3 linked regions of the Saccharomyces cerevisiae S288C genome follow. The gene in region 3 interacts genetically with the main gene of each other region. Each region holds a gene or a part of one and is shown on either strand. Other genes may lie near its edges.

Region 1 (5,638 bases), on a different chromosome or scaffold from region 3:
GACGATTACACAGTCTTTAGTTGTTAAATAGCTTTGCATATAGGGAACCAACGCAAAATAACCAATGTCTTTAATTTCAGCTGTAGAAGATAGAGACATACATAATATAGGAAAGACTTCTGGTGGAGGGAGCAGGACTTCGTCTATAACTTCGTCGAAAAAGTCGCTGAAACACGGCTCTAAATCTTTGAGAAAACCAAAGGTATACCAGACAACAGGCGAACCATTAAGCAGGGAGGCTTTATATAAGGCGAAGTTGAAGTACGGGGTTTACCAGTCACCTGCCCAAAGTTACTCAATTGGCGTCAGCGACGCTCATGCAGCTTCCGACAAGGCAGCTAATTTAGCTCATGACAATCAAACCACGGTAGAAGCTTACAAACGTATGTTTATTGACCCTAATGCCACTAAAGCTGCATCCAAAATGGGACCCAAAGTTGTACGTAACAACTCAATAACTTCTGCTACTTCTAAAACTTCAAAAGAATCTCAGACGAAGAGAAAGTCCAAAGAATCTCCAGGGGCCGCCGCATCGAAAGCTTATTCGATGACAATGGAAACTACAAGTTTAAGCTCTCAAACAAACAGCAGGTCATATTCTATCACCTCTGCCAGCTCTGTGTTAAGCGGCGCGAGTGGCAGTTTCAACAGTACTGTTAATCCTAAACCAAAGACTTTGAATTTGGAGAAAGTCTTAGTGGGTGCTGAAAAAAAGGCAGAATCTCGTATTAAGGAAAGATGGGAACCGGAAAAGACGAACTTCCAATACGGCGTCAAGACTGATGAGCATGGTAATTTAAATCAATTCAGTTTCTCCAATGAGATGATGAATAACATTATGGCGAAAGTTGATGCTCCAAAAGCACAAGATTTACAAAAGGTCAAAAAAGTTTCTGCTGAGAAAGAAGCCAAGTCGATGAAATTTGCATTAGGAGCTGCTAATGCTGTGAAAGACATGCATCCTGGTGAGGATATCGACAAAAGTATAGCTCTTAAGGCGCAGAAGAGGGAAACCTATCTGAGCCAATTAACTTCTCAGCAAGTTTTGACTTTGGCAAGAGCCAATGTTGACAGACAATTGGATATCATTGAAAAAAGCGATATGCATAGAAAGCTATTCACTAATATGGAATACAACAAAGCTGCTGTCGCTGTCGCACAGTCTAATCATCAGAAAAAGACAGAATTCCATAACAAGATTAACATGGGTGGTGGCCTGTTTTTGTCACCAGAAGATATCACTAAAATCGCATCCGGATTGATTTCTCCTGTACTTGGTGAAGTGAGTGAGAGGGCGGAGGCGCAACGTGCTATGGATGAAGAAATTGCAGAAAGAACTGAGGCCTATAATAAATCATCAAATGAATGGGAAACGATGGAACGTTCTATCATTTCTAATGACGCCAAAGTATTGACTACTACGGCTAATAGGCATCAAACCGAAAAAAAGACCTCCCAGGAAAAGATTAAAGCCAGCTTTGATGCACTTGTGGCCAGAATGGATACCAAAGTCGCTGAAAGGGAAACTCTGCTTGAAGATACCAAGAGCAAAGAGATCGAATTTAAAAAGCAAATGCAGCAAGAGTTAAAGGACGAAAAAGCTCGTCTAGATCAAGATTTGGAGGAATGGGGTAAGAAATGTGAACAAGATATCACTGAAGCGCGCAAAGAGCAAGAAGAACTATTGAAACCTTACCATGACGATCTGGCAAATGCAGAAGCGGAACACAAAACTTTAGTGGAAGAGCGCGATGAAATTAACGCAGAAATCTCAAGATTGCAGGATGCTATAGTTGACCATAAAAGAAAGATCTCTGGTTACGGAAATGATCTTGACGCCCAGAAGAATAGAAATATCAGAGAGGATGACAAATTACTGGAACTAGGTCAAACTAAAGAAAGCTTGGAATCCCATTTGAATGATGACGTTATTATTCTTGCTAATAAGGCTAAAGAGCAGGCTGAGTTATCAACCAAGGAGGCCCGTCTGAAGCAATTGGAAGTGGATTCGTTGATTAACGAACGTAAGAGCGAGTTGAACGCGACCGAAATCGAGTTAAAGAAGGAAAAACTAAATTTGTTGGAAGCTATGAAAGATGTTGCTTCTGCACGTGGCGATGATAAGATTGACGAAGAGAAGGTTAAAAAATTGATTGGTATGACTTCTGAGGAGTATTTAACACAAAACAAATCCGTCGAGAAAAATGTTGAAGATTTACCAACCCAACTTGAAAAAATAGAGGAAGGTGATGAACTAAAGAAGGAAGAGATAGTGGGAGCCGAAACGAAAAATTCAGGTGGTGATGGGGTTCCGGTGAGTACTGCCGCAAAAGAAGCTACCGAAACTAGTTCTGCTGTTCAAACAAAGGAACCTGAAGAAAAAATTTCGATCGGAAATAAATCAAGTGGAAAAGAAGACGCTAATGATTGTAAATCAGCGGAGCATTCAAAAGAAATCTCGGTTTCACAGAAAGCAGGAAACAATAAATCATTGGGAGTTAGCCCTGATAGTTTGGAACATACATTTAGTGGCTTTTCACAGGGTTCTTCGATCGAAGACGATCAGGATGCAATTAGTAATCAAGAGAAAAAATAATTGCTAGTGAGCCTAGATAACGAAGAAATGGTGCGGCTAAGATATTGAACAGTTGAGTGGGATACTACAGAATTTTGATAATTAAGATAGTTCTCATCTGCGCTTTAATTATTCTTTTTATGTGTATAATATATGTTTATTGCCTTAATTTAAATTTAATATTTGTATTTTCTTTTTTTTGTTTAATTTGATTACTTTTGCTTATGAAATAGTATATATGGTTGTTTTACTTTTTTTTTTATTTATTTGATCTAAGTTTTATGTATGCAGATTAAAAGCAAGTTTTAATTAATTGGTATGTTGGTTTTGATTATGATTATGAGGAGTACCGCTATTGCTATTGTTTAAATTACTACTGTTGTGTTCCAGTTCATTCACGCCTGGATCAGTTTTGAAGTATACTTCATCCGGCAAAGTATCTGTTGAAATTATTGAATATTTGATGAGCCAATTTCTCATTGGTTGGTAGTCTAAAACAGAAAACGGAATGTTTAAATCGATAAGAATCTCTATCAAGTCGTTCATGGCTATTTTCGATTGAAGTTCTCGAACATTTTGCTGTTGGACCTGGTGGTTGATGAGGCTCGATCCGGTTTCAGGATGATTTCCGTTGACGTCCCCTTTTTTCTTCTTTTTCTTCTCTTTGAATTTGGCATCTGGTTCAACAAGTAAATCACGCATCAATCTAGATTGATAGTCATAGCATTCCTGGAAAAGTGGAGAATTATGATCAAAAAATTCGGTAAAATTATTTGGTGTTAGCTGGACATCGTGAACTTTACTCAAATGTCTTTGATACTTTCTAGAACCATGCTTCTCTCTACTGTTCTTATCTTTCCATATCATTTCTTGATTGCAAATTCGCTTGGTTCTACGGTCATAAAATTGGCAATATGTGTTGATAGTTAGAGGTGATTTAGCAAATAATAGTTTAGATAGATGGTTTCCCTTAATATCTCTTCTCTTGGGAATGGGAAGCTCCAAAGTTTTCATAATGTCTGATCTAAAATTTAGTGTTTCTGAAGACAGTAGCTGCATATTATTCTCTATGAAATCTACCACTTGTTGCTGTTGCCGTTGAACTGCATATTTAGAATCCTTTGTGCTATTCGATTCAATAGTTCCCAGAGGAAGCGACTCATCATGAGTAACGTTGACAGGAGATGACTTGGCAGATACGGTAGCAGAAGAAAAATCTGGCGAGAAGTTCTCTTTTTGCAAATAATCCGGTACCATATTCATATTAAGTATCCTTGGAGTTTCCATCTTGTTGGGCGCCAGATACATCTCCTCACGAGGAGTCCCACTACGGTTGGCAGGAAAATTAGGCAGTGTCGCTATATCAACCATGCCTCTATTGTCTTGAGGAGGGCCTTTAGTGGTAGCAAATTTCCCCATTTCTGGATTTAGGTCCTTCATAACTGCTTGTAGTTCTATCTCCTTGTTTTCGAATAGCTTCTCAGAAAGTAAAAAAAAGGATAATATTACAGTTTTTGATCTACAGAGTCCCTTTTTGTACCCCTCCACTCAAATCGTTCTGATACGTACGTCTCTAGGTGTCAGATGATGGAGTAACTTGCAGATGTTTTACATGCGTTTCTTTTGGTTTACGCGATAATAGTTCCTTATTAAATGTCAAGAAAGTGCTAGTTGCTTCAGTTGTTTTAAGATTGATCTCCACTCTCTGCGTCTTCACATGCGCGGGACAACTTTACAGGAAAACAAGGTTTAAGAGATAACCTATTCGGGTTTTACGTAGGATGATCTATTATAGTCTATTCAGTTTTTACTGCTGCACCATCCCCTAGGCTTCTTTGTTGGGATATGGTATAGTACTCTATTGGTCTTAACTTTGCGATCTTCCCCGTCGCGTAATCTTAGATAAAAGCCACCTAGAACGACTAAATGTGAGGAGCAAGCAACAACATTAATAAAGAAACCCAAAAGAAGTAAGTGCGTGTAGTTAGACCGGAAAACAATATGGCTATTAACCAGGCACATGTTCATCCGCATTACACGTTACCTGGTGTAATGCACTACTTGCAAACGGAGTTCACGAAGAATGAAAGAGATAGAATCACCTGGGAGCTAGAAAGGTCGGAAATGAAAGCAAGAATTGCAGAACTAGAGGGCGAAAATAGAGATTTGAAGCATCAATTGAATCAAATACAATCGAAAGCTGTTTCTCCTGAAGGTGAAAAGGAAGAAAAACATGTGCCTGATTCATTACTGCAGTCTAAGCTAGCTGTTCAAGAAAATGTGAAGGAAATAATTTATTTGTTGAAAGGCCCTAACACGGTCAATCAGTTAGAGTCATTAAATAGCAGAGAAGCGGGTTCTGAATTGCACGATTTAGAGAAACTGAACGTGAATACTCCCAAGGAAGAGGGCAGTGCGAAGACAAATGGGATGGATATTTTAAATAATGCCCTCTTGGACACCAAACCCAATCCAAAGCAAGGTCCTTCAGAGTCACCATCACCAACCAAAGTGAAATCTTTGTTTAGCACAGCCAACAAGCGTGAAAATAATGAAACAATATCCAAGATACACTCGGAATTGTCGAAAGTCGACATTATCAGCTCCTACGGGGACTGTATGGCACTTTATGATGCAGACACCAAATCGTTAGAAATACACCAAGTGGACGCAAACTTGAATTCCAAACTCTTAAAGAAAATATCTTTAGGGCAAGATAGCGACATTATGAAATTTTTCTGGGTTTCGACGTCCAAACTCCTTGTTATTGAAAAGAGTTTCCATTTGAAATTGTTCTCTATTTCTAGCGCATCTTTGATCTCAGATGTGGACCTATTACAAGACTCAGAACAGCCGTTTTCGTCTAGTGATATCATTAATATAGACTTCAAAAATAAATGGTTGTTGATAGCTAGTAAGAATAAATCTCAAATTAGAATCTGGGAATTGGACAATATAGAGGCTCCTGAGGATGTCCCAATTAACATAAAAGAAACATATGAAATAACACATGATAATGATGACGATGATAGTAATGATTCCACAAACATTCTGGATTGTATA
Region 2 (5,735 bases), on a different chromosome or scaffold from region 3:
TCTACTTCCATGTCCCATTCCAAAGCGCAGAAACTTGTTATTGAGGACGCCTTGCCCTCATTCGACTCATTTGTAGAAAACTTGGGCCTTTCCTCAAATGACAAGAACTTCATTAAAAAAAACAGCAAAAGGCAAAAGTCGTCCACATACACCTCTCAAACTTCTTCTCCAATAGGGCCAAGAGATCCAACGGTGCAAATTTTGTCAAACCTAGCATCCTTCTACAACACCCACGGTCACCGGTATTCATATCCGGGAAATATCTATATACCACAGCAAAGATACTCTTTACCCCCACCAAACCAGCTCTCGTCGCCACAGCGGCAGCTAAACTATACTTACGACCACATTCACCCAGTTCCTTCTCAGTACCAGTCTCCAAGACACTACAACGTCCCCTCTTCACCAATCGCGCCTGCTCCTCCCACTTTCCCTCAACCTTATGGTGATGATCACTATCATTTTTTGAAATATGCTAGCGAAGTTTATAAGCAACAAAACCAACGACCAGCTCATAATACAAATACCAATATGGACACCTCTTTTTCGCCAAGGGCGAACAATTCACTGAACAATTTCAAATTTAAAACAAACTCAAAACAATAAAAATGTCATCTGTTACATTTTTGGTAATATTCTTTTATAATGGTTCTTTAATTTTTTTACATAATTTACATATTATTTCAAAGTTTTTCAAAAATATCCGTACTATATGTTTTTCCAGACAAAACATAAAACATACAATGATCTTTTTGAAGAGAGAATTAGTACACTCATTACAAGGTGTATGACGTGCCGAAGAAAAAAATTGCTTCCAATCGGATTTGAACCGATGATCTCCACATTACTAGTGTGGCGCCTTACCAACTTGGCCATAGAAGCTCGTACTTGTTGGTTCAGTACTCTTCATCAAGCTATACTATTTATCTAGGATGACGGTCACAGTGATTCGTACTCGACTGCTTCTATAATCTGTAGGTGGCTTGCGCATATCCTGAATTATCGTAATTAAAGAACCAAGTTAGATGCTAAAGGTGGAAAAGTTCAAAAAATTGAAGCGATTCGAGGTCTATTATTGTTTAAAAAATTCTTTTCTGGAAGAAGTAGATATCGAGATGAAATATTCCTGCAGTATAACAACTATAATGAGCAATGGTTCAGCAAGCTTGTTGATGAACTGGGAAGAATTAACACCTGGTCACTGTTTTACCTCTTACACAACTAACCCTATCGCAGGTGACTATGGTTTGAATGCATCAGCAATAGACGGCCACACGGAAGAGTTAGTGGCGACCCACCCAGCGGGAACCTTGGAGAATGCAACGCAGTAGGTTCATAGCATTCGCAAATAATGGCATAGCCTCACATTTGCTGATGAAAATGGTACTATTCTGCCACAGTCCTGCTCTTTCTTTACAGAAAATGAAGAACATTAGAATGTTGTGATAAAAATTTAGGGTTACTTATTTCATGAAGGCAGTAATAATACGTATGAAAACATTAGTCAATAGACGATTGATTATTATTCCAACAATAGTATATCTGAACAGCCGTACGCAAAAAAAGCAAATTTAATTGCTGACCATTATTCAGAGCAGCTGTTTTGCCAACGTTTGCTCAAGCTATTGTCCAAATCAAATAGAGAGATACGAGTAAGCTGTTCATCAATGCTATGACTTTTAAACACATTTGATTCTTACTGCGAAAATTCCACTAGACAATTAGGGCTAATATGTGACATGCATATGTGACATGCATGTGGTGCAATTGCTGTTAAACATGGGCCTGTAAGCGGGCCAGCACATCTTCAACGGCAACCTGCCTCGACGTTTGGATGGAATATACTGAACTCAATGTGATGACCTGAAGCCACAGTCAACTCCTAATTTTCGAAGTCATTGTAGCGAAAGTATTTCTTAGACGGGATACTGTTGTTTATGTTCATAAGGGTGCCTCGATAAAAACAGATTCAGCCATATCCAACCTATATGGAGTGATGAAGGAGTAAAAATCAAGTATGAAAGCTAAACCACGCAGCAGAATATCGTAGAACCCAGCAACTAACAGAAATAACTACATTTTCATAAAATCTGACCCAGATTATGGAATGAGGCTACAACTTTATTCAGTGTCTAAAAGAATAGTTTCGCACGGAGAGCTTTTCCGCCTTACATTCATTTCCGCTAGCATTCCCGTGTAAAGGAATATATTTGAAAGAGATACAAAGAAACTGTTGATGACTGCGTGTACTCTAAATGCAATACTAGCTCAAAAATGTGAATAGTCACCGGTTGGGCATAGTAAACGTCTGTTTAGTTTCATGAACCGTTTTGTAATTATTTGCCTTCTTTTTACTTATTATGTCATATGGTCGCTCCTGCCTATCTTCGAGATCGAGAACTCCAATCCAGTTGTGAGTTTACTCTTCCCCATTTCTAGCAATGTTGCAATTTTCCTGCCCATCTTCTTACTGTTGATCGGGTTTACTTTAACTGGTTCTGTTTTAGGTGTATTGCTTATACGCAGCGATAAAAAGAAAAAAGTTTAATCTAAGCCTTAAGAGGCTCGAGTCACTTCTTTCCTCGATGAGAAATCCCGGATTTCTCATCACGGTTTCCATACAAAAGTCCATGGAAATATGCTTGGCAAACTCAGTGAAAAATTTGACAATATCATTTGGGTTTGCCTGAGAAACCAGAATAAAAATAGGCTTGACCAGCAGTGATATCAAGTTAGAAGGCATTGTTTTGAATTTTAGACAATTTAGTTTCGCCTGCAAGCCGTCAAAAACGTTTAAACAATAGAAAAGATGCTCCGAAGAATATGATACTAACTATTTATACATATGTAACAGGAAGACAAGTGACAACAAAAACTATTTAAACTATTCAATCGCATGTTTCGGAGTTTCCCCACGCCCGTATCCTTTAGCTTCGTAATAATCCATTGGATAATATTTTTCGCTGAACATGACATCTTTCTTTAGTAAGACACTAGCCTCATATGGTGTTAATAGTGGTTTATTGAAGGCATAACCCCAATCGATGGACAGTCTAGGACATGCGACCTGAACAAAAACATCAATTTGATCGAACATTGCGAGCTTTTGGGGAAAAACTTCACTTAGAATAATTTTCACCACGGTTTTACCTGCTGCGATCAGGTTTTTTTCCAAGTTTTTTACAGTGTTTAAATTACCTTGTCTACCTAATGCACCTAAGATCAGACCAAAAACTTTACCCTTCCGAGCGACTTCAATGGCCTCTGCTCTAACTTCCACGAGTTGCTTTTGATCGTATCCTTCTCTAGTGAACTTTCTGTTGTATGGGTCATACTTGAATGCAGGAATTTCCGGATTATGTATCATTGCAGACTCCAAATGAAATCTACCATCACCGATGAATACCATGGCATCGTATTGTTCTTTATCTAATCTTTCAGAAGTACACCCCAATACTTCACCCCTCGATAGAGGCTTGATTTGTGGTGGAATAATATACAGCATGTGTTCTTCATCGTTAAGCAGTTTATCTCTGACGCTGTGTACCGCAGGATTAAACTGAATGGTACCAAATGTAGCGATTCTAGATCCCTTAGGAAAATTCTTCTGCAGCGTTTTGATAATATGATCTTCTTGAATATTTATAGTAACAAAGACATATAGTACTTTAATCTTTGTAACGTCAATAGGAACTAAACACGAATGAGCGTAATGCACAATAAAATCGCAATCCAATGCCCTAGCAGTAAAATCATCAATACAGCATGCACCATAAGACACATCCCCCATTACTAGAGTTTCAACACCACAGAACTGTTCCAAAATGTCACTTATAATCAATGAGTAAATCAGCAAACCTTCAGGCATCTGTAGGGCTATTCTTTTAGCATTATATTTCCTGATATTCCACACAGTTTTGTGGATTTCAAAGTTGTAGTTAGAGGGCAATAATTTGATGGCTTCATTCAACTCTTTGTCATTCAATATATCTTCTGGCACATGATTAACACTCCTACCTAGGGCGATTCTACTCTTTTGCTTGTGGATTATTTCGTTGCCATTTTCAGCCACTGTAGTTAATTTGTCATTATTACTGTTGCCAGATTTTCTCCCAATAAATCTTCTTCTTGGTTGTTTTTTAGATTCTGTAGAGCCACTCATTACGAAAAAGAAATGCTTCAAGCTATCCGATTATCCTTAAAATTCGCAGCAGATAGTTCATGAGATTTCACTTATTTTATTTGATTGTTATTACTACTACATGTTTTTTTTTTCATCACCATCGCATCGCAAAAATCAGCTGAAAAATTTTGAATACTAAATATTCAGTGTCAAGTGCTCAGAGTAATATTAAGATTCACAAAAGAAGAATACTTGCTATAATCTACCATCACTTCTGAACTATAATGATAACACCAAGATTCTCTATAACACAGGATGAGGAATTTATATTTCTCAAAATATTCATAAGTAATATTAGGTTCAGTGCAGTGGGTTTAGAGATAATCATCCAAGAAAATATGATCATTTTTCACTTATCCCCTTACTATTTAAGATTAAGATTTCCTCACGAATTAATCGATGATGAGAGGTCTACCGCTCAATACGATTCCAAAGATGAATGCATCAATGTAAAAGTAGCCAAACTGAATAAAAATGAATATTTCGAAGATTTGGACCTACCGACAAAGTTGTTGGCTAGGCAAGGCGATCTTGCAGGTGCCGATGCATTAACAGAAAATACTGATGCGAAAAAAACCCAAAAGCCCCTTATTCAAGAGGTCGAAACTGATGGCGTGTCGAATAATATTAAAGATGATGTGAAGACTATTGGTCAAATGGGAGAGGGGTTTAATTGGGAGATAGAGCAAAAGATGGATTCCAGCACCAATAATGGAATATTGAAGACAAAATATGGGTTTGATAACTTATATGATACAGTTATATCAGTGTCGACAAGCAACGGGAACGATATCAATGAATTAGACGATCCTGAACACACTGACGCGAACGATAGAGTTATTGAAAGGTTAAGAAAAGAAAATTTGAAGTTTGATCCTGAGTACTATGTTTCCGAGTATATGACACATAAATACGGTAACGAGGAAGACTTGGAAATTAACGGCATTAAAGAACTACTGAAGTTTACACCTTCGATCGTAAAGCAATACCTGCAATGGTACAAAGACAGTACGAACCCAAATCTGGTCATGCCAATTGAGTTTACTGACGAGGAACAAAAACAGATGCAGGACAATTTACCCAAGAAGTCTTATCTCGTGGAAGATATAAAACCACTTTATGTCACTATACTCAGCGTTCTTTTCAGTTATGTGTTTGAACAGATCGAAAACGAAGGTACTCATACCACAGAGAGTGCTTGGACCATGGGAAAATTGTGCCCTCAAATATCATTCTTAGACCAACAATTAAAACAGGTGAACGAACTGCAAGACGGTATGAAAGAAATATCAAAGGTTAATAAAGACAGCTCTCTCATCAAGATTGCAATCATTACAGGTATCAGGAGAGCCCTGAGTTATCCACTACATAGAAACTATGACCTAGCAATGAAAGCGTGGACATTCGTATATTATATTCTACGAGGTGGTAAGAGACTAGTCATAAGGGCGCTTTTGGACATTCATGAAACATTTCGTTTCCATGATGTTTACTACGTCTACGACAAAGTTCTCTTGGATGATCTGACTGCGTGGTTCATTTCTCAGGGTAG
Region 3 (8,313 bases):
GAAAAAGAGGATAAAAATCACATTGAGGCAGAGTGGTTAAGGTAGCTGTACCAGTCATTTTGAATACATTTTTCTGGATGTTCCATCAATAATGGATTTTTATACTACTGATATCAACAAAAATGTTGTGCCTTTGTTCAGTAAAGGAACAGTAGCAAGAACAGCATCAAAAGCACAGTATCCATCATGGTGCAACAACGCGTTAAAGTTAACTAATATTCTTCTTAAATCTCTTCGATGTAAATTTCAAACGAACCGCTGCGAGGATGATCGAGGTTTTGAGGTATATTGTGTTATTTTAAAAAGCATCGCTTTATTAATGGCCGCGAAAGAATCATTGATATTACTACAAATACCTCCTTCTTTACCATCAGGATTTCCATTTCGTTCACCCCAACTGTCATTTACATATTTATCAACCCGTCTTAGTGGGAGCCAACACAAATCTACGCATTCTCATCACATCAATCATCAAACTCATCCCATTCATAGTAGCAGTAGCAACAGTAATAGTAATAACCGTATTCCTACAAAAACAGATTCCTCCAAACAGCATACACAGCATTTCTCTTTTGCTAATGCGGGAGCCTCCAATAGAGACGAACTGCTATCAATCGTGCGCAAAATTGATAAATCTAATTTGAAGTGTTGTGACTGCGGTAGCACCGCAACAGTAGAATGGGTGTCAATCAATTTATTGTGTATATTGTGTATCAAATGTTCGGGCGTTCATCGATCTCTGGGTTCACATATCTCCAAAATTAGATCTTTAACGCTGGATAATTTCACCTCGTTAGAGTTGATGCATCTTTTACAAAATAATGTTTCCAATAGTAATGTTAATGCCATTTATGAAAGCAATCTCAGGAACTTTCCAGTTAAAAAAATAACTGCAAATTCTGATGACTCGGAAAGATCCAAATTCATTATTGATAAGTATCAATTTAAAAAGTTTGTTATCGACAGCAACCAAGGCAGAGAGGCTTCTTTGAAGTCTTTAATTAAAGCTATCCATTTAGATAGTGTTTTCATGATGCAAAGAGCCATCGCCCAAAGTAAATATTCCCTAAGAGAATTGACGGCAAGCGAAAAAGAGCAGAATGATCTAAACCATTCTTCCATTTTTCAATATTCCCTAAAGCACTATGAAATTGTTGATGGAACGCCCATTTTTTTTATTACAGAATTTTTATTGTGCAATGGTATTCATATAGATAATTTACCGAAGATTACTACGAATTGGTCTCCAAAGGTTTTAGAATATTGGGAAACTAAGTTGGAGATGTACGGAACATTCCAAGCTGTAAATACTTCTCGTCCAAGATCAGGGCCGCATTTAAATATGCATTCAAATGTAGATTCAGCTTCGTCCTACAATAAGAAACACGATTTGAGAGTTAACATACCTGAAAGAAGTGCCTCAGCAAGTAAAAGGTGGAGTTTGAGCTCCATTCCTAAGTCTTCTCAAAATTTGATGTCCCCAACAAACTTATTAACAATGCATAAGTCTTTAAAATTGGCCAAAAAGGACAAAAAATAACATATATGATAATTTAACTGTATTTTTTTCCCTTTTCTAATACTTTTTCCTCAAGTTATATTTCGGAGCTGTCCCAGGTTCGGAACAATGCGGCATCAGGGATAAAAAAAAATGACACATAAAAACGAAAAAGACACAAATTCCATTTTTTTTTTTTGACGCGAAAGAATGACACTACTTTCTTCTATTGTAACCATTTCTAACATCGATATTTTACTTGTTAGTTCAGATATATACTAAAGAGTCACTTAATATACTGTTTTTGTTTATTATCTTGGTTCCAACTGCTTCATTTAATATTTCCTATCCAAAAAAAGCCAGCTAATTCTCTTCTTTTTTTTTCTTATTTTGCCATTTTCAATATTATCGATTTAGTGAACACCTGGCTAGTCAGTTGTCTTAGCAAACATTTCTCAAAAGAAAGCAAACCAGCATTTGCTTTTTAAATTTAGTTTTTTTACTAGCTAATTCATTTACTAAACAACAAAAGAAAATAGCACAAAATGGAAAGCAAAGAAATATCAATTAGGTCAAGAACCCCTCCATCGAAGCTATATTCCATCCAATCATGTATTGGCAGAGGTAACTTTGGTGATGTGTATAAAGCAGTGGATAGAGTTACGCAAGAAATTGTGGCAATTAAGGTGGTCAACCTGGAGCATTCCGACGAAGACATTGAACTGTTAGCACAGGAAATTTTTTTTCTGGCGGAATTGAAATCTCCTCTTATTACAAACTATATTGCAACAATGTTAGAAGATGTCTCTATGTGGATTGTCATGGAATATTGCGGCGGTGGATCATGTTCAGATTTACTGAAGCGAAGTTACGTCAACGGTTTGCCTGAAGAAAAAGTTTCCTTCATTATTCATGAAGTCACCTTGGGTTTGAAATACCTGCATGAGCAAAGGAAAATTCATCGTGATATCAAAGCAGCTAATATTTTACTAAATGAAGAAGGTATGGTTAAGTTGGGTGATTTCGGAGTAAGTGGCCACATTCGTTCCACTTTGAAAAGGGACACTTTTGTAGGAACGCCGTATTGGATGGCTCCGGAAGTTGTTTGCTGCGAAGTTGATGGGTATAATGAGAAAGCAGATATATGGTCCTTGGGTATCACCACCTATGAGTTACTCAAGGGCTTACCCCCATTATCTAAATATGATCCTATGAAAGTTATGACTAACTTACCAAAAAGGAAGCCTCCAAAATTACAAGGTCCCTTTTCGGATGCAGCAAAGGATTTCGTAGCTGGTTGTCTTGTTAAAACACCTGCTGATCGGCCATCGGCATATAACTTGTTATCATTTGAATTTGTTAAGAATATCACCATAACGAACTTGAAAAGTGATGTTGATCTAATTAAACAGAAAAAGGTTCAGGAGAGATATACAAAAGTTCCCAAATACCCTCTTCAAAATCGCTTGTATAAAAACAGCAACACAGTGAGGGGAAAGGAATTTTGGAATTTTGAATCGACAAGACTAAGCACAACACAAATTTCCAAAGAGGAATTATCTCCCATTACACAAGACTCTCCAACATCATCTTTAAATATGGAAAGTCCTTATTTACTTCATGGGCAAACTGTAACGCCGATAACCAACCCAAGTTCTTCATCATTTAGAAAATGTACGCAACCAGTTTTCGAGCTTGATTCAGGAATGGATATAGATTCAGGCTGCCCAAATGCTCAAGCAGAGACCGAAATAGTTCCTCTCTCTAATCATAATAAGAAGCATAAAAAGAACGATATTCAGGCGTTGAAGATAGAAAAGTTTGACTACTTGAAAAACATTGTATCTCATATTCTCAACAGAATGTATGATCGTGCGCGCGACGATGAAACAAGAAAATACGTAAATGAAATGTTAAAGCAATTCATTAAAACTGAGGCAAACGTTCCTGGATTTAATGAGGTTTTTATAGAAGAGATCTCACTAAGAATTGAAGCAATAAAGAAAGGATTCGTTTAAAAAAATAGATATATATATATAATGTGTGTATATGCATGAGTTTTTGTTTTCCATTCTCTTTCATCTTCAATAAATGAAGGATGGATATATTGAATTATATAACAAACAGTAAAAAGTCATGTGTTTTTGATTATTTACCTGCTTATTTCTCCCTTTTTTTTTCGATTCTTTTTTTCTGATCGAGCGTTTATGTCTTTACTGTCCCGTCATTGATGCGTCTCAAAAAAAATATTTTGTGGCATTACTTAGACTATAAAAGAAAATGCCAATTTGGAAAACACAAACATTCTTCACTAGTATTTCTGTTATTCAAATAGTCAATAAAGAAACCAAAGTTTCTACAAAAAAAGAAAAGGATAGCATGTTGAACCAGTTGAACACAATCTTAAGATTTTTATTCTTGTTTCTGCAGTTAATTAAATCATCCGCTGCAGTTGAACCTAATGGTGGACCGAATATTCTAGATCACAACATTATGTTGGTTAACACTAATGCAACGATCCCTAAAAAGGAACAAACTGATTTTGAGGTGATTTCTCCAACAAAACAAACACAAGTAGATGAAGACTGTAAAAAAGGCTTGTATCATATTGAGAATGCTGGAAATTTGATTGAACTGCAAGCTAAATGTTGGAAAGTGGTAGGAAACATTGAAATATCAAGTAACTACAGCGGATCTCTTATTGATCTAGGGTTAATAAGAGAGATAGAGGGAGATCTTATTATCAAGAATAACAAACACATTTTTAGAATCCAGGGTTATAATTTAGAGTCTTTGGGAAAGTTGGAATTGGATAGCCTAACTTCCTTTGTATCATTAGACTTTCCCGCTTTAAAAGAAGTTGAAACCGTTGATTGGAGAGTTTTGCCTATTCTAAGTAGTGTTGTCATTAACGGAAATATTAAAAAGATCAAAAATATTATCATATCTGATACTGCATTAACCTCCATCGATTACTTCAATAACGTCAAGAAAGTGGATATTTTCAATATCAACAATAACAGGTTTTTAGAAAATTTATTCGCAAGTTTAGAAAGTGTTACTAAACAACTAACCGTCCACTCTAATGCCAAAGAGCTGGAACTTGATTTGAGCAACTTACACACGGTTGAAAATATGACCATTAAGGACGTTTCAGAAATTAAACTAGCTAAACTTTCCTCTGTGAACAGTTCTCTAGAGTTCATCGAGAATCAATTTTCAAGCTTGGAACTACCACTTTTGGCAAAAGTTCAAGGAACGTTGGGGTTAATAGATAATAAAAATCTGAAAAAGCTAAACTTTTCGAATGCCACCGATATTCAAGGGGGTCTAATGATTGCTAACAATACAGAGCTTGCCAAAATTGATTTCTTCCCCAAGTTGAGGCAAATTGGCGGTGCAATATATTTTGAAGGTAGCTTTGATAAAATTGACCTCCCAGAGCTAAAGTTAGTAAAAGGTAGCGCTTATATCAAAAGTTCATCTGAGGAATTAAACTGTGAAGAATTTACATCACCAAAAGCCGGTCGTTCGATCATAAGAGGCGGTAAAATCGAATGCACATCTGGTATGAAAAGTAAAATGCTGAATGTTGATGAAGAGGGGAATGTACTAGGAAAGCAGGAAACTGACAATGATAATGGAAAGAAAGAAAAAGGAAAAAATGGTGCAAAAAGTCAAGGAAGTTCAAAGAAGATGGAAAACAGTGCTCCGAAGAACATTTTTATTGATGCTTTCAAAATGTCAGTTTATGCAGTTTTCACGGTATTGTTCTCGATAATTTTTTAGGTTAGAAGATTAACTTAAATACTAGCCATTTTATTTAGTTCTTATGAGATATAAATTTGCAGTAGAGATGTAGTGTTCTGATTATCTTCACCTGGAGCATAGCGTAGCCCACTTAGCATCAGCTTTTTATGTTATTTCAGGCATTACCAAAACTGGTTAAACTATTGAAACTGTTACCCTCCTTTTAATTTTGACAGTTTTTGAATAATTATTATGGTAGATCATCTTAACAAAATGAGCTCATTAGGTAGATGATTTAATTGAAAAATAGTGTTTTGATACGGTTCTTCCTTAGGGTTAAAACCACTCACATTTTGCTTACTCACCATTAAAACATCTTTCCCAGTTGTATTTTATATTTCTTTCGGTTTGCTGAACATCAGGGAAAAAAATGGATATAAACTCAAATGCCTCAGTAAGCCCCAGACCAGATGGTTTACCGATGACTGCTGGATATAATTCTGCTTCTGGAAAGGTGCGAAATAGTATCAGATCCATAATAAACCACCCAGAGGATAGTGCAAGAGCCAAAGAGCGCAGTGAAACGAACAGTCCTAAGAATAATGGCAACAAAAAACCTAGAAAGAAAAGAAAAACATTTAGTTGTGATACTTGCAGGAGAGTGAAGACAAGGTGCGATTTTGAACCTTTCATTGGAAAATGTTACAGATGTAACGTTCTGCAGCTTGATTGCTCCTTAGCCAGGAATAAAGACAATGAAATTTTGAATACTTTACGTGAGGATGGTCTACTAAAGAAGATCAACTCAATTAATCACAACCTTGGTTCTTTCTCTCATTTGAATGCGGACTCTCCCAACGAAAGCCAAAGTAGTTTTGAAAAGAATGGAACGGTCAATTTTGATAATTACATGATCGATAAAAGGCTTTCATCTTTAGAAGAGCACATAAAATCTTTACACCAGAAAATGGACTTGATAATCACCACAGCAAAGATGTCTTATAACAGCGATATCAAAGGCCCTGGAGATGATATTCAGAACGTGGATTTCAGCTCAAATAAGACGTACGATAGTCGTCTAACTTCGGGCTCAGAGACGATAAGGAAAACAGGGGAATATAGAAAAGAAAATCTTTTCTTAAATGGATTTAAGTTGAAGGAATCTCCTTTAAAATTGCTACATGATATTGATGAGAGGCTATTTCCATCGAAGGCTACATCTAAAGCTGCGAAGCTAGCTGGACAGCAAAGGCCATATGCTGTTGCAAGAGTGAACTTTCTCCATTTTTATGAGAATAATCAGGAATTATGCCATAAGCTTGCAAAAGAATTTCTGGTGAGATCCCATTTCTGGATAATTCCAGGTGGGAGAAAAGAGATAGACGTGGAATATGCCCACTCACACCTATTTATTACAAGTGTTTTTACTATTATCGCTATGAGTTTTGCTGACAACGATAAATACGCTGCAGAACAAGAAATATTGTATCCTTTAGTGGAGAGATTACTCACTAATACGTTAACCATGTTTGAAAAGTTAACAGCGTTTGATATTGAGGCTATTTTATATTGCTGTATGTTCCATATTTCGCGAAAGGCAAAGAGATATAGGCAACTGAAGTTTAATTCTCTGGTACTAAGCAATTTTGCGCTCAATAGCTTGTTACATGTAATAGATTTTTATCAGATAAAGGATAGGGTTTTGGTAAAAGAAGTGTATAATCCCGAAGATCTTTATCATCTAAGAATACTAAATTCACTAACTGCCTGCTATTTAGAATATTCCATTAGTTACGGCGATATTAGGGAACAGGATGATATGCTTAAAGAGTTTAATAAACTTGTGGCGAAATTTCCTCAGGCGAATTTTGGTGATGACATTAAAATCAGTGAGATAAATTTAGGTGACATCGTAAATGGCATCTTTATAAACCTTAAAAATTATTTTGCGCAGTGTTTGGATGACTTTAACAATGACAGATATGGAGGTAACGCAGATACTTTTATCTTTGTTTTTCCAGAGCTAAATTATTGGCTGAAAAATTGGGAAGAGCTTTTAGCAAAGGATGGCGCGGGCGTGCTATTGTTCACATTTGATTTTTATCATATCATGATATGTCGCACTTTTATCACAGAATTTTCTTCCACGCTAAAAAGCAACCAAAGGTTTTTGAAACTAATTCTTAATACGATGAAAGAACATTCATTTTCGCTGTTGAATGGGTTTTTGAGACTACCGCCAACGTTAATAAGGGGTGCTCCGATTTTTACTTGTCATCAACTAGTCTACGCCTGTTTAACTCTTTGTGACTATCTTTATTGGTTCGATTCTTCTGAACGTCAACGCGTTTTGAGTCTTTGTACAAAAGTGTACTGGCATTTGAGCACTATAGGGGAAAAAATGAATGAGGCTACTGATAACGTTGGAAAAATCATAAAATCTATAATTGATACTAGTAAGACTCGTATTAATTTTGGCAGTTTGTCAAAAGAGAATAGTGATAATGATAAAATGTCGACTAATGCTAATAACTACACAGGAGCAGGAAATCTGCACGCCGCGAAACCCGCTACTTCGCCTACTAATGTTGGTACTTTGCACGAGAACTTGTCCAGTAGTCACTTCATGATTCCTGACGTCGACCAATTCAATTCCTTTGAAGACTTTTTTCAGGATTTTTTTGATAGTTTAAAACCAAATTCCCAAAAAATGTTTACCAGCGATAAGAAGACTGAACAAACTACTTAAACTATTTTTATTAAGAGGGAAAAAATTCATACCCAAACTAGATTGAATAACATTTCTTTATATTAATATATTGTAGTTAGAGCCCTTTTATTTTATTTTGCTGCAAACATAATATACACAACCATAATTACATTGAAACTTGACATGATGGCTGGCATCCTCATATGGATATATTTTCAACTATAAAAAAAAGTTTGCCACATACGTACTCCATGCATCTTGTTGCAGATATGTGCCTGAGTGCCAATTTACCTAGGCGGCTGATTTCACGTCTACCAATTCGACATCAAACACCAAATCAGCACTTGGAGGAATG

Evidence for each region. A genetic interaction does not mean that the proteins touch.
Region 1: mutations in SPS2 (region 3) and RSF1 together harm fitness more than expected from each alone (negative genetic interaction), as found in Saccharomyces cerevisiae (2 studies listed by BioGRID).
Region 2: mutations in SPS2 (region 3) and DPH1 together harm fitness more than expected from each alone (negative genetic interaction), as found in Saccharomyces cerevisiae (2 studies listed by BioGRID).

Annotation. Positions count from the first base shown.
Region 1 is NC_001145.3:329,170-334,807, reverse strand, and holds RSF1 (Rsf1p), read right to left. Parts: upstream 4,016-5,638; coding exon 2,885-4,015; downstream 1-2,884. Other genes in the region: EIS1 (Eis1p), read left to right, coding at 65-2,596; FAR8 (Far8p), read left to right, coding at 4,577-5,638. UniProt on the Saccharomyces cerevisiae protein: Mitochondrial and nuclear transcriptional activator required for respiratory growth.
Region 2 is NC_001141.2:170,178-175,912, reverse strand, and holds DPH1 (2-(3-amino-3-carboxypropyl)histidine synthase), read right to left. Parts: upstream 4,163-5,735; coding exon 2,885-4,162; downstream 1-2,884. Other genes in the region: XBP1 (Xbp1p), read left to right, coding at 1-606; YIL102C (uncharacterized protein), read left to right, coding at 1,026-1,331; YIL102C-A (uncharacterized protein), read left to right, coding at 2,321-2,548; Hsp90 cochaperone SHQ1, read left to right, coding at 4,408-5,735. UniProt on the Saccharomyces cerevisiae protein: Catalyzes the first step of diphthamide biosynthesis, a post-translational modification of histidine which occurs in elongation factor 2.
Region 3 is NC_001136.10:1,480,769-1,489,081, reverse strand, and holds SPS2 (Sps2p), read left to right. Parts: upstream 1-3,778; coding exon 3,779-5,287; downstream 5,288-8,313. Other genes in the region: GTPase-activating protein AGE1, read left to right, coding at 92-1,540; putative serine/threonine protein kinase SPS1, read left to right, coding at 2,044-3,516; URC2 (Urc2p), read left to right, coding at 5,679-7,997; peptidylprolyl isomerase family protein FPR2, read right to left, coding at 8,250-8,313. UniProt on the Saccharomyces cerevisiae protein: Involved in middle stages of meiosis. Redundant with SPS22 for the organization of the beta-glucan layer of the spore wall.